Sus scrofa: one gene and its partner. The protein of the gene in region 1 purifies or fractionates together with the protein of each later gene. This does not show direct contact. Links are inferred from orthologs where the notes say so. Each region holds a gene or a part of one and is shown in the gene's direction. Other genes may lie near its edges.

Region 1 (5,307 bases):
TCTTCTAGTTACATCTATTTTCTATTACATCTATCTATCTTTGGTGACATCCAAAAGGCCAAAATAATTCCTCTGGTACCTCTGCTTTTTTCTCCTGCTGTGGTTTTCAGATAGGAATTTTTAAAAATCCTGTGACGTTTCTCAGTGCCTTATCTATGGCTCTAAAATGGCAAATGTGGCCCCTCTAGCACTTCATAGCTCTATCTATGGTACTGAGGTGGCCAAAGTGGCTCCTCTGGTAGCCCACTGCACTCTCCATGGTACTGAAGGAATGACCATTTGTTTTAATGTCTCTCGGGGGTCCAGAAGAGTCCTATGACTCAGAACCACAAAAGTTTCAAACTGGAAGGGACCATCAGTATAAATTAGTCCAACCCCCTTATTTTACAGATGAGTACAGTGGGAGGTTAAATGACTTACTGAAGGTTGCAGGGCTACTGATGGTCTGACTAGGCCCATTATAGTCTTGCACCCCTCAGTCCTTCCCTAATTCATCTTTCATGATACTGCTCAGTGAACCCCGCTAAGCTCTTGGCCCCAGGCAAGGGGTTTATTTGGGGATCCAGAAAATGAGAGTGGATGCCCTAATTTGGAGCTGCAGAAATATAGATATTAAAAGTAGTGGCGGCGTTTGTTTAGTGACCCTCGAACAAAGACATTTTGTTAATCTCCTGCTAATAAAATTCCCGTAACCCGGATTCCACATGTAACAGGTTCCATGCCCCTTCATGGAGACATATCTCCATCTATGAAATGTCAAAAATTAAAGAAGCCTTGGACCTCCAGAGCCTTTTCTTTTTGCAGGGCTGTCTCCTGACTCAGTTCTCTTCTATTAAAGATCCTTAAGCAAAGTAATGCTGAGTCCTTTTCTTTTTCAGTAACCTATTTCAGTTTCACAATGCCTATTATAAGGAAGTTCTTTATATCTCAAATATTCTATCTCAGGAAAAAAAAAAAAATAGCTTAGGCCCACATTTGTCTAGCCTTGACCAGATACAATTCTGTATGTAGGCAAGAAAGGTAGACTGGACTACTTCTGGTCATTCTCCTAGGCCTATTTCCATAAACCTTAATTCTGGGGTTGCTTCTCAGTCTTAATGCTAACCTCCTCTGCAGCTTAGAATCAGGAGATCTGCCCCCCCACCCCCCCAGTCCTTTTCCTCTCAGTGCTCTTGTCCTTCCTCAGACCTGGAGCTCTGCACATCCCAGGCCCAGGGAATTTTAGCCTGGAGAATGTTAACCCTTTCCTGCTCAGAGCATGTGCTGAGCCCCTATCTGTGCAGATGGCCCAGCCCCGCCCCCCGTCCCTCACTCCAGCCTCTTGAGCTCAGAGCCAGTGTAATCCTCCTCTTGTGTGAGGGAGCCTCTCCCCTGCAGAGAGGAGGAAAGCCTGCTTCGGAACAGCCCTGGACAAAGGGGCTGAGATGCCCCATCAAACTGCAGGCTCCAAGGTTTGAAACAAGGGGATGAATCCTGTCCGGTATTTGCAGTTTTTAACCCCTTCCCAAGGCCTGCAGCGCCCCTTAACTTCCACTCCTCCCCCAACTCTCTCTTCATTCCCTCTTCCTCTGGCTCTCTCCCCCTTCATGCCCCTCCCCCTCTGTCTGTCTCCAGACTCTGCTGCTGGGAGGTGTTTCTCTCCCATGCATGAATGAGTCTCTGTAATGAATGGAAATGAATGGATCAGGAATCCAGGCAGAGGGAGGAAGAATGAGGGGGAAAGACAGAAAGACAGGGTAAAGGCAGAAGGAAGAACTGTGGAGTCTGGAAGAATGTTTGGCTGGCTGGTCAGTTAGGGGTCTGAGAGCAACTGGTCCCGCTTGGATAACTGAGGAGCCTGGCAAGCCTACCCCATTTGCTCTTCAAGCTGCACAGCCCAACCTAAATAAGAGAAGGGTATACTGTGATGGTCTCCCCCACCAACTCGGTGGGGTTGGGGTGGGGGTGGGTTGTGATGGTGGTGGTGATGATGGTGGTTGTTCTGGACAAGGCATTTAAAAAGGAATAATTTGGGGGAAGAAATCTGGGTTATCAGGGAGCTTTGTGGGCAAATAAAAGAGCACAAGTTTTGAAGATAGCAGCCCCCTCCTGTCTCAGGATGTCAGGAAGAAGGGATAGGTTTCAGCGTGCTAAGAGTCTGGGGTTGGGAGTGACTCTTTCCACTGCTGAAAATCAGGGCTCATCTTTTCCTCCAAATCTGTCTCTCTTGCTTTAGCTCTTCAGCACCTGTTGCCTTCACTAGCAGCTTTTCCTCCTCCTCTTCCCTGCACTCCCCAGAACCAAAGAATGTGAAGGGGGTCCATGGAGGTGAGTGAAGCAGGGGCCTGAACCTACAAGTACCTGCAACTATGCTTCCTCCCCTCCCTACCTCTCTCTCTGGCCTCCCATTATTAGAAGTTATTTCTGTAGCCCCAACAGCTCAATTCCCAGTCATCCCCCAACTTCCTGAGGTGAGTGGGAGGGGCACCCAGTGTTCCTGGTTCAGGCCCCGACCCACCCTCCCTGGGGTTCTTTTGGCTCTCCATGCCCTTGCTTCCCCCACTGCGCTCCATTCTCCACCTTTTTGCCCTACTCACATCTTTCTCCACAGGGTTCACGTCCCCGCGCCCCGGGCGGCCACCTAGCGCCGTCGCCACCGGCCTTCGACGGCGAACTGGATCTGCAGCGCTATTCCAACGGGCCAGGCGTGAGCTCCGGGTCTCCGGGGATGGGAGCAGTGGGCTGGTCTGAGAGTCGCGCGGGCGAACGGCGATTTCCCTGCCCTGTATGCGGGAAGCGCTTCCGATTCAACTCTATCCTGGCTTTGCACCTGCGGGCGCACCCAGGCGCCCAGGCCTTCCAGTGCCCGCATTGCGGGCACCGCGCGGCGCAGCGGGCCCTGCTGCGCTCGCACTTGCGCACGCACCAGCCCGAGCGCCCGCGTAGCCCCGCCGCTCGCCTGTTGCTGGAGTTGGAGGAGCGGGCGCTACTGCGGGAGGCCCGGCTGGGGAGACCCCGAAGCTCAGGGGGCCTGCAGGCCACCCCTGCCACTGAGGCCCTGGGGCGGCCCCAGGCTCCTTCATCGTCCGCTTTCCGTTGCCCCTTCTGCAAGGGCAAGTTTCGCACCGCGGCGGAGCGCGAACGCCACCTGCACATACTGCACAGGCCCTGGAAGTGCGGCCTGTGCAGTTTCGGCTCCAGCCAGGAGGAGGAGCTGCTGCACCATAGCCTGACGGCCCACGGAGCTCCTGATCGCCCCCTGGCGGCCACCTCGGCTGCGCCCCAGCCTCAGCCTCCACCCCAGCCTGAAGCTAGATGCGTCCCGGAGCCCGACCCGGAGCCGGAACGTGAGGCAACACCCGCCCCTGCTCCTGCTGCTCCCGAGGAGCCCCCAGCGCCTCCGGAGTTCCGCTGTCAAGTGTGCGGCCAGAGCTTTACGCAGTCCTGGTTTCTCAAGGGCCACATGCGCAAGCACAAGGCTTCCTTCGATCATGCGTGTCCTGTGTGTGGCCGCTGCTTCAAGGAGCCCTGGTTCCTTAAGAACCACATGAAGGTGCACGCCAGCAAGTTGGGCCCACTGCGTGCCCCGGGGCCTGGTTCTGGGCCTGCCCGGGCCCCCCAGCCTCCTGACCTGGGCCTGCTGGCCTATGAGCCTCTGGGCCCTGCGCTCCTCTTGGCCCCAGCGCCCACACCGGCTGAGCGCCGCGAGCCTCCAAGCCTCCTGGGCTACCTGAGTCTGCGAGCCGGTGAGGCCCGGCCAAATGGTGAGGGCGCTGAGCCTGGGGCTGGCCGCAGCTTTGGAGGTTTCCGCCCACTTCCCTCTGCTCTCCCGGCCCGGGCTCGCCGGCACCGCACTGAGGAGCCAGAAGAGGAAGAGGAGATGGTGGAGACAGAGGAAGAGACCTGGGCCCGGAGCAGGGCGCTGGGCCCTCTGGCCTCACTGCCTCCGCGCCCAGGTGAGGGCTCAGGGCACAATGCGCCTGCTGCGGGGGCCCAGGCAAGGTCCACGACCACGCAGGGTAAGTAAGGGGCCTCCTCTCTCCAAGGTTTTCTGCATCCTGGGCCCACTCCTATGCCACCACCGCTCTTTTGTCCCCCCTTTTAAGAAAGGACCTTTTATTTCTCCCGTCATTCCCCCCTCCCAGTTTTATCTCCTTTTGAGGGTACAGCTCAACTCCCAACAAATCCAACCCTTCAGGTTCCTGCTAACATACTGTGTCCCCCTGGGCGCGGAGGGGAAGCGGTCCTGTGGAGTGGATGTAGGGGCACATGACCCAGATACGGTTAGAGCAAAGTCCCTTTGATTTCCCTTATGTGTGTATTGCAGAAGAGAATGGGCTGTTAGTTGGAGGGACCCGGCCTGAAGGAGGCCGAGGGGCCACCGGCAAGGATTGCCCGTTCTGCGGGAAATCCTTCCGCTCAGCGCATCACCTCAAAGTGCACCTGCGAGTGCACACAGGTGAGGGGGCAGCCTCTGAGGTGGGGAGGGGACTGGAGGGCAGGAAGAAGGGGGTGGTGAGAGGCCTCCTGGGAACGTTGGGAGATAACGTTCGACAGCCTTTAGATTTTTATTAAATCAGAGGGGATGAGAGAAGCAGTGTTTTGTTTTGTTTTTTTGGTTTTTTTTCCTGGTCCAGAGGTCTGAACATGAAGGGAAATGCGAGTTGGGGCGGGCAGTGATCCTCTCTGGCCCTGTCACCCACCGCCTCCGCCCCCCCTCTTTCCAGGCGAGCGCCCCTACAAGTGTCCACACTGCGACTATGCGGGCACCCAGTCCGGCTCGCTCAAGTACCACCTGCAGCGTCACCACCGGGAGCAGAAGAGCGGGGCCGGCCCTGGGCCGCCCCCCGAGCCGCCGCCCTCCTCCCAGCGGGGTTCGGCCCAGTCGTCGGGACCTAAGCCGGCTCCGCAGCCTGCGACCTGGGTGGAGGGCACGGCGAGTCCCCGGCCTCCATCAAGAGGCGCCGCGCCGGGGTCCCGTCGGAAGCCCGCTAGCCCTGGGAGGACCCTGCGCAACGGGCGAGGCGGTGAGGCCGAACCCCTGGACCTGTCCCTGCGGGCAGGGCCGGGAGGCGAGGCTGGGCCGGGGGGTGCCCTCCACCGATGCCTCTTCTGCCCTTTCGCCACTGGAGCCCCTGAGCTCATGGCCTTGCACCTGCAAGTGCACCACAGCCGCCGGGCTCGAGGCCGCAGGCCTCCCCAGGCCGATGCATCCCCGCCCTATGCCCGACCACCGTCAGGGGAAACCCCTCCTAGTCCTCCGCAGGAAGGGGAAGAGGGCCCTGGGCTGTTGAGATCTGGAGAGGCTGGCCTAGGGGGACAAGAAAG
Region 2 (6,091 bases), on another chromosome or scaffold:
TTCACAGTACCGCCAGCTGCTGAGTGACTATGGGCCACCATCTCTAGGCTATACCCAGGTACAGCAGGGGGGGTGATGCCCAGGGGGAGGGGCTCTGAGGGCAGCCTGGGCCCTGAGGGGGAGCTGTGGAAGGAGTAGAGATGAAGGAATGGAGCGGTCATCTGAGCCTCCTCAACTCAAGGCTAGGGCTTCAGAACAGAGGGGTGATGGGAGTTCCCTTATAGCTCAGTGGGTGAAGGATCTGATGCTGCCACTGCAGCGGCCTGGGTCACTGCCATGGTGCGGGTTCAATCCCTGGCCTGGGAACTTCCACATGCTGCATGTGGGAGGCTGGAAACTCCAAGAGCCACAGTCCTGTTGGGACCACCAGCCCACATATGTCCCTGGGGGTTTTCATGCTTTGTTCCTAGGGAAGTGAGGTATGGCCTCAACTCTTGCTCTGAGCTTGGATAGAGGCTGGTGTCAGGGGGTGCCCATTCCCACTCATTCCCCACAAGGTTGTGGCCCCGTCAGAGAGGTGGGGGCTCATGTCCTAGTGGAGTCCGGGTGGGTTTCATAGAGAGCTGGGGGCCCCTGAGTTTCACACCTGGTTCCACCAGTTACAGGACCATGACCCCTACTTGGCAACCTTGCCGAGACTTGGTCTTCCCACTGGGTTTGGGGGCCATCAGTGGAGAAAGCCAAGGAAGTGGTGCCCCAAGGGCCCTCGGTGCCTGGGCTGCCAGCTGTGAGGTTCTCCCCTGTAGTGGCTGGAACTCATGTTCCGAGGTCGCCATGGAGGCCAGCCTCTGGGATAAGGTGGCGGCTCTTGGCCATGCCCCGCCAGGCTGTCCTAGCCCCCAAGGGGAAGTGGGCGCGGACCCCTTTGAAGAGGCGGTGGTGGGAGGACGGTGTCAAGTGTGGCCTGGATAGGCCCCACAGTGCCCTGGCTGTGAGGCAGCGGCCAGAGGAGAGGAAGGGCCACGGATTCCGGAGGAGGCTCCTGGAGGATGCTGAGGAACAGGACAAGGAGAGGAGGAAGGATTGGGAAGCCAAGAAACAGGCAGCAGAGGAGGGAGGAGCAGGCGAGGGTCTCCCGGTCAGGACACAGCTGCTCTGATGCAGCTGTGGGGAGGGGGACGGGAGAGGGAGGGTTGGGGTGAGGCCCGAACTGGCAATCTCCGCCCACAGCCAGGCAGGAACCTGGTCTCATTGATCTGGGTGTTTCCTCAGGCTGCTAGGGGTCTGGAGAGAAAGTTCTGTGCCGTGGGCCCTGCCAGTAGGGGAAGATGGATGAATTAAACATATCTGGGGCTCTGGTGGTTTTTATAGTCCTGCCAAACCAGGTGTGGCCTCCATCTCGTCCACTCACTCCGTCCCTCAAGCCCGTCCATCCTGCTCCTTCCTAGGAAATTCCCAGTGAACCCTTTCCTGTTGACAAGCCAGTCTTTTTTTTTTTTTTTTTTTTTTTTTCTTCTTTTTTCATTTAAGATGATAACAGCTTTCTGTAGACTGCTGGGTGGTTTCTCTGAGTGCATAGGGACTGTAGGGAGTGCCGGCTCCTGGTCTGTAATTGTCCCCCAGAGAGGACGAACCTGGCTCTAGCAGAGGCAGGAACCTTGAGAGTTTAGGCCAGGCCACTTTCCCTCCACCATCTGCCCCTGCCCTTGCGAGACTGGCACGTGGTGGGGCCTTGACCATGGCATTGGGGTCAGGTTGGGCTCAATCTATCTGAACTACTTTTTTTTTTTTTTTTTTTTTTCCTCTTTTAGGGCTGCACCTGTGGTATATGGAAGTTCCTGGGCTAGAGGTTGAATCAGAGCTGCAGCTGCTGGCCTACGCCACAGCCATGGCAATGCCAGGTCCTTAACCCACTGAGCGAGGCCAGGAATTGAACATGCATCCTCATGAATTCTAGTTGGGTTTGTATCCCACTGAGACACAATGGGAACTCCCTGAACCCTTTCTTTCTGATTCTAGGGAACCGGTAACAGCCAGGTGCCCCAGAGCAAATACGCTGAGCTGCTGGCCATCATCGAAGAGCTGGGGAAAGAGATCAGACCCACCTATGCAGGCAGCAAGAGCGCAATGGAGAGACTAAAACGAGGTAGGTCATGGGCCTGGACTCCACTGTCAGGTGACACTTTGCTTCTGGCCTAGTAACTGTCTTGAAAGATTTTCTCTCTTGAAAATGGAGGATGATGGACAGGAGAGTACCCCGCAGCACAGGACACAGGGGTTCCTGCCCTGTTACAGAATTACCCTTGGATGTGGAGGCATCAGGCAGCATGACTGGGTCTGTGGAGTGTAGACTGTCCTGAGGATCTGACAGGAAGGGTCTTGGTGGCCAGTTGTCAGATGGGGTGTCTAAGAAGGGAAGCCCTCGCCCTGCATGCTTCCCTGGGGTAAGGGTGGGTCCATCTGTCTTAGAAGGGAGTCTAGACCCAGATGGTACAGCTCTGCCCCAGGCCTGCTCTGCTCCCTTTGGCCATAGCTGGCCCCAGGGAACCCCAAGCCACCCAGTACAACAGGCTTCTCCTCTGGGCAAGGCCAGTGACTGGGGGCTGCAGGGTCCTCTGCTGTCCTCTTTTGGAGCAGTGCCCCAGGAGGCTGTGGTCTGTGCTAGTCTGGGGAGGGAAAGCAAGTAGGCTTTGAAGTTATTTCTTTTCTTTTTCTTTTTGTTGTTTTTTTTGCCATTTCTAGGGCCGCTCCCTCGGCATATGGAGATTCCCAAGCTAGGGGTCTAATCAGAGCTGTAGCCGCCAGCCTACGCCAGAGCCGCAGCAACGCAGGATCCGAGCCGCGTCTGCGACCTACACCACAGCTCATGGCAACGCCAGATCCTTAACCCACTGAGTGAGGCCAGGGATCGAACCTGAAACCCCATGGTTCCTAGTCGGATTCATTAACCACTGAGCAGCGACAGGAACTCCTGAAGTTATTTCTTGATTAGAGAGGGAGGGCACTGGAGGATGGTACCACAGGAAGAAGGTATTGCACGTGAAGATGTGACTGGCCAGCTGACTTCAGCAGGCAGTGAAATAGGTTGGTTGGGAGTGGAGGGGAGAAAAGGATTTCTATTTTAGAAGGTGGTGGTTCAGAATGTGGTGGCTTATGTGTGAATTTAATTTCAGGAGGGATTCGGGTTTTTTTGTTTGTTTTTCTGAAGGTCAGAGAAGTAACTTTGGAGAAATAGGAAAGGGAAACATTTCTTAGTTATAAATCTGGGGTGTACGGGGTGCTGCAGTTGCAGCCGTGACTTCAGTGATGGGCAAGGCTGATTGAGGTCAGGCCCCTACCCAAAGCAGTGGCCTTTACCCAGTTCATGACTCCTTTGTGAAGAGACTAACCTGTTTTGGAACTGGGTTGGGTAATAAGAGCACAGGTGTGGGGAGGGGGACTGGTAGTTAGAGGCTGGAACGAAGAGTGCGTGGAGGAGGGAGGGAGCTTACCTCCAATCCAACCCTGGGGGTCAGGTGGGCATCATGCCACCCAGTCCTGGTAACTGGGGTGTTGGTTACCAGATTGGAGATGCCTGGGAAGATGCTGGACCCCAGAGACTGTCTGACAGGTGATCTGCAGCCACCCAACAAAGCCAGCAGTTCAAGTCCATGCCTGGATACACCTAGTGATTGCGCCAGGGCAGCTAGGGCACATCCTGGGGAAGCAGCTGGTCCCACAGTCACCCTGACCAGAAGCTGAGCAGGCTTGCCAAGTTTATGTCATAGCAAGTAAAAAGGGTCATAGGGCAAGAGGGAGTCAGGCACCAAGAGGAGCCAAGACTGTTTTTTGTGGTTTTTAATGGTGAAGAAAAGAAAGATGTTGTGACATGTAAAAATGATGTGATATTCAGACTTTAGTGTCTCTAAGTATTGTTGGAACGTAGCCACACCCATTGCTTACATAATGTCTGCTGCTGTTGTCACGGTAGAGTGGAGTAGCTGTGACAGTGGCTATACAGCCCCCCCTTTAAATTAAAATATAGTTGATTTACAGTGTTGTGCCAATTTCTGCTATACAGCAAAGTGACCCAGTCATACATATATATGCATTCCTTTTCTTATATTATTTTCCTTCATGGTCTATCCCAAGAGGCTGGATATAGTTCCCTGTGCTGTACAGCAGGACCTCCTTGCTTATCCATTCTAAATGGAATAGTTTGCATCTACTAACCCCCAATTCCCCCTCCATCCCACTCCCTCCCTCTGCCTTCCCCCTTAGCAACCACAAGTCTGTCCTCTGTCTGGGAGTCTGTTTGTATAGCCCTTTACAGAAGGTCTCAAAGCTCAGAAGCTCTGGGGGATAAGATTTGTAAGGTGGGGACACCTGAGTGATTTGAGGAGTCACTCACTTCCATTGCCCTCTGGGGGTCAGCTCTTAGAAGGAATAGGTTCTCTGATCTTGGATTTCCCAGCCTACAGAACTGTGAGAAATAAATGTTTGTTGTTTAAGCCACCCAGACTATGGTACTCTGTTGTAGCTGCTCAAAATGACTAAAATAAAGGGATTTTTTTTTTTTTTAGTCTGGAAAAAAAAAAAAGGAATAGATTCTCTTGTGCCTATTAAAATGAGATCAATGTTTCATGAAGTTGAGTAAAGCCTGCCCTCCCCCTCCCAAAGAAACCCAAGCAAACAATAGATAACTCCCAAACCATAGAGATAAAAGATGATGGGCGAATAATAGTGGAATAGATGCTGCAGGTCCCCTGGGGAAGGACGAAGCAGTGGACCAAGTGAGTAGTTCTCTTGTACCTGAACCAGGCAGGCTGTGACACTGCCAGGTCCTTTCTAGACTTTAGAAAAAATAATGATTTGAGGGCATGGAATCTCCAGAGGGTTTGGCTTAAAGAACTGGGGTGGAGACACACTTACTCTTGTCATCTGGATGGTAACATAGTTTGAATAGGGAGTAATGAAAAGAGCTTCCTGGTTGTCACCTTGAGCACAGAATGAGATTTTTAAAAGAGGAGTTTTGGCTTTGAGGGGTGGGGTGGGATTTGTTAGAGCCTTTTATTTATTTATTATTTAAAGTCTTTTGTTTGTTTGTTTTGGCCATGTCCATGGCATGCGGAAATTTCCTGGGCCAGCAGTCAAATCTGCACCAAACCACAGCAGCAACCCGAGCCGCAGCAGTGACAACACCAGATTTTTTTTTTTTTTTTGTCTTTTTAGGGCCACACCTGAGGCATATGGTGGCTCCCAGGTGAGGGGTTGAACTGGAGCTATAGCTGCTGGCCTACACCACAGCCACACCAGATCTGAGCCATGTCTGCAAGCTACACCACAGCTCATGGCAACGCCGGATCCTTAACCCACTGAGTGAGGCCAGGGATTGAACCTGCGTCCAGTGGATACTAGTTGGGTTTGTAACCCGCTGAACCACAATGGGAACTCCAACAACATGGGATCTTTAACCCACTGAGCCACCAGGGAAGTCCCCTTAGAGCCTTTAATGGCTCTAGTACTTGAGTCATTGGACGCAGGTTTTCCTCTGGTCTGAGGGCTTCATGGCTGGCTGTGAAAGGACCCTCCCCCTTCCGCAGTGGGTGCCACTGCTAATGCCCGCCTCTGCTTCTCTTCCAGGCATCATCCACGCTAGAGGCTTGGTGAGGGAGTGCTTGGCTGAAACTGAACGGAACGCCAGGTCCTAGCTGCTTTGTGAGCCTGGAAGGTTTCCCATCTTCTTCCCAGAGAAGTTACAGTTCATCTCCCTTGCTCAGATGAAACTTTGTTTTCAACATGGTAACAATCTGGTTTCTCCTTCCTACTGTCCCTCCCATGGTTCATTAGGCTCTGAACCTATAGTCTCTAAGATTTGAGAAAAGATTTTGCAGTTGATTAGGATTTACATTTTAAATAGGAACTACCCAGGTGTTTGTTTTTTAAAGCATTGATTCAAAAGATGCACGTAAAAGTTACCTATCTTAAAGCAAACTAGTTGCCCCCAAGATACAGGTGTCTGGCTCTCCTCTTTTGAAGTTATGTTACCAAGATTGTTCTCTGTTCTTTTTGTAAACTGATACAACTTGAACGGTTTTTTTTTGTAGTGTGGACTGACAGCACACACTTAACCTAGTAGCTGGTCCCCTTGTTTGCCATACAGTGTAGATTC

Evidence for each region.
Region 2: the proteins of ZNF219 (region 1) and CDK2AP1 purify together in Homo sapiens (affinity purification with mass spectrometry; 3 studies listed by BioGRID and IntAct, counting the BioPlex papers as one, with this or other methods). This does not show direct contact. The link is inferred for Sus scrofa from reciprocal best matches to the Homo sapiens genes ZNF219 and CDK2AP1.

The regions. Positions count from the first base shown.
Region 1 is NC_010449.5:78,037,698-78,043,004, forward strand, and holds part of ZNF219 (zinc finger protein 219), read left to right. Parts: intron 1-2,215; 5' UTR 2,216-2,301; coding exon 2,302-2,307; intron 2,308-2,590; coding exon 2,591-3,998; intron 3,999-4,306; coding exon 4,307-4,438; intron 4,439-4,706; coding exon 4,707-5,307. UniProt on the Homo sapiens protein: Transcriptional regulator. Recognizes and binds 2 copies of the core DNA sequence motif 5'-GGGGG-3'. Binds to the HMGN1 promoter and may repress HMGN1 expression. Regulates SNCA expression in primary cortical neurons.
Region 2 is NC_010456.5:29,635,898-29,641,988, forward strand, and holds part of CDK2AP1 (cyclin-dependent kinase 2-associated protein 1), read left to right. Parts: coding exon 1-58; intron 59-1,959; coding exon 1,960-2,086; intron 2,087-5,562; coding exon 5,563-5,630; 3' UTR 5,631-6,091. UniProt on the Homo sapiens protein: Inhibitor of cyclin-dependent kinase CDK2. Also acts as a component of the histone deacetylase NuRD complex which participates in the remodeling of chromatin.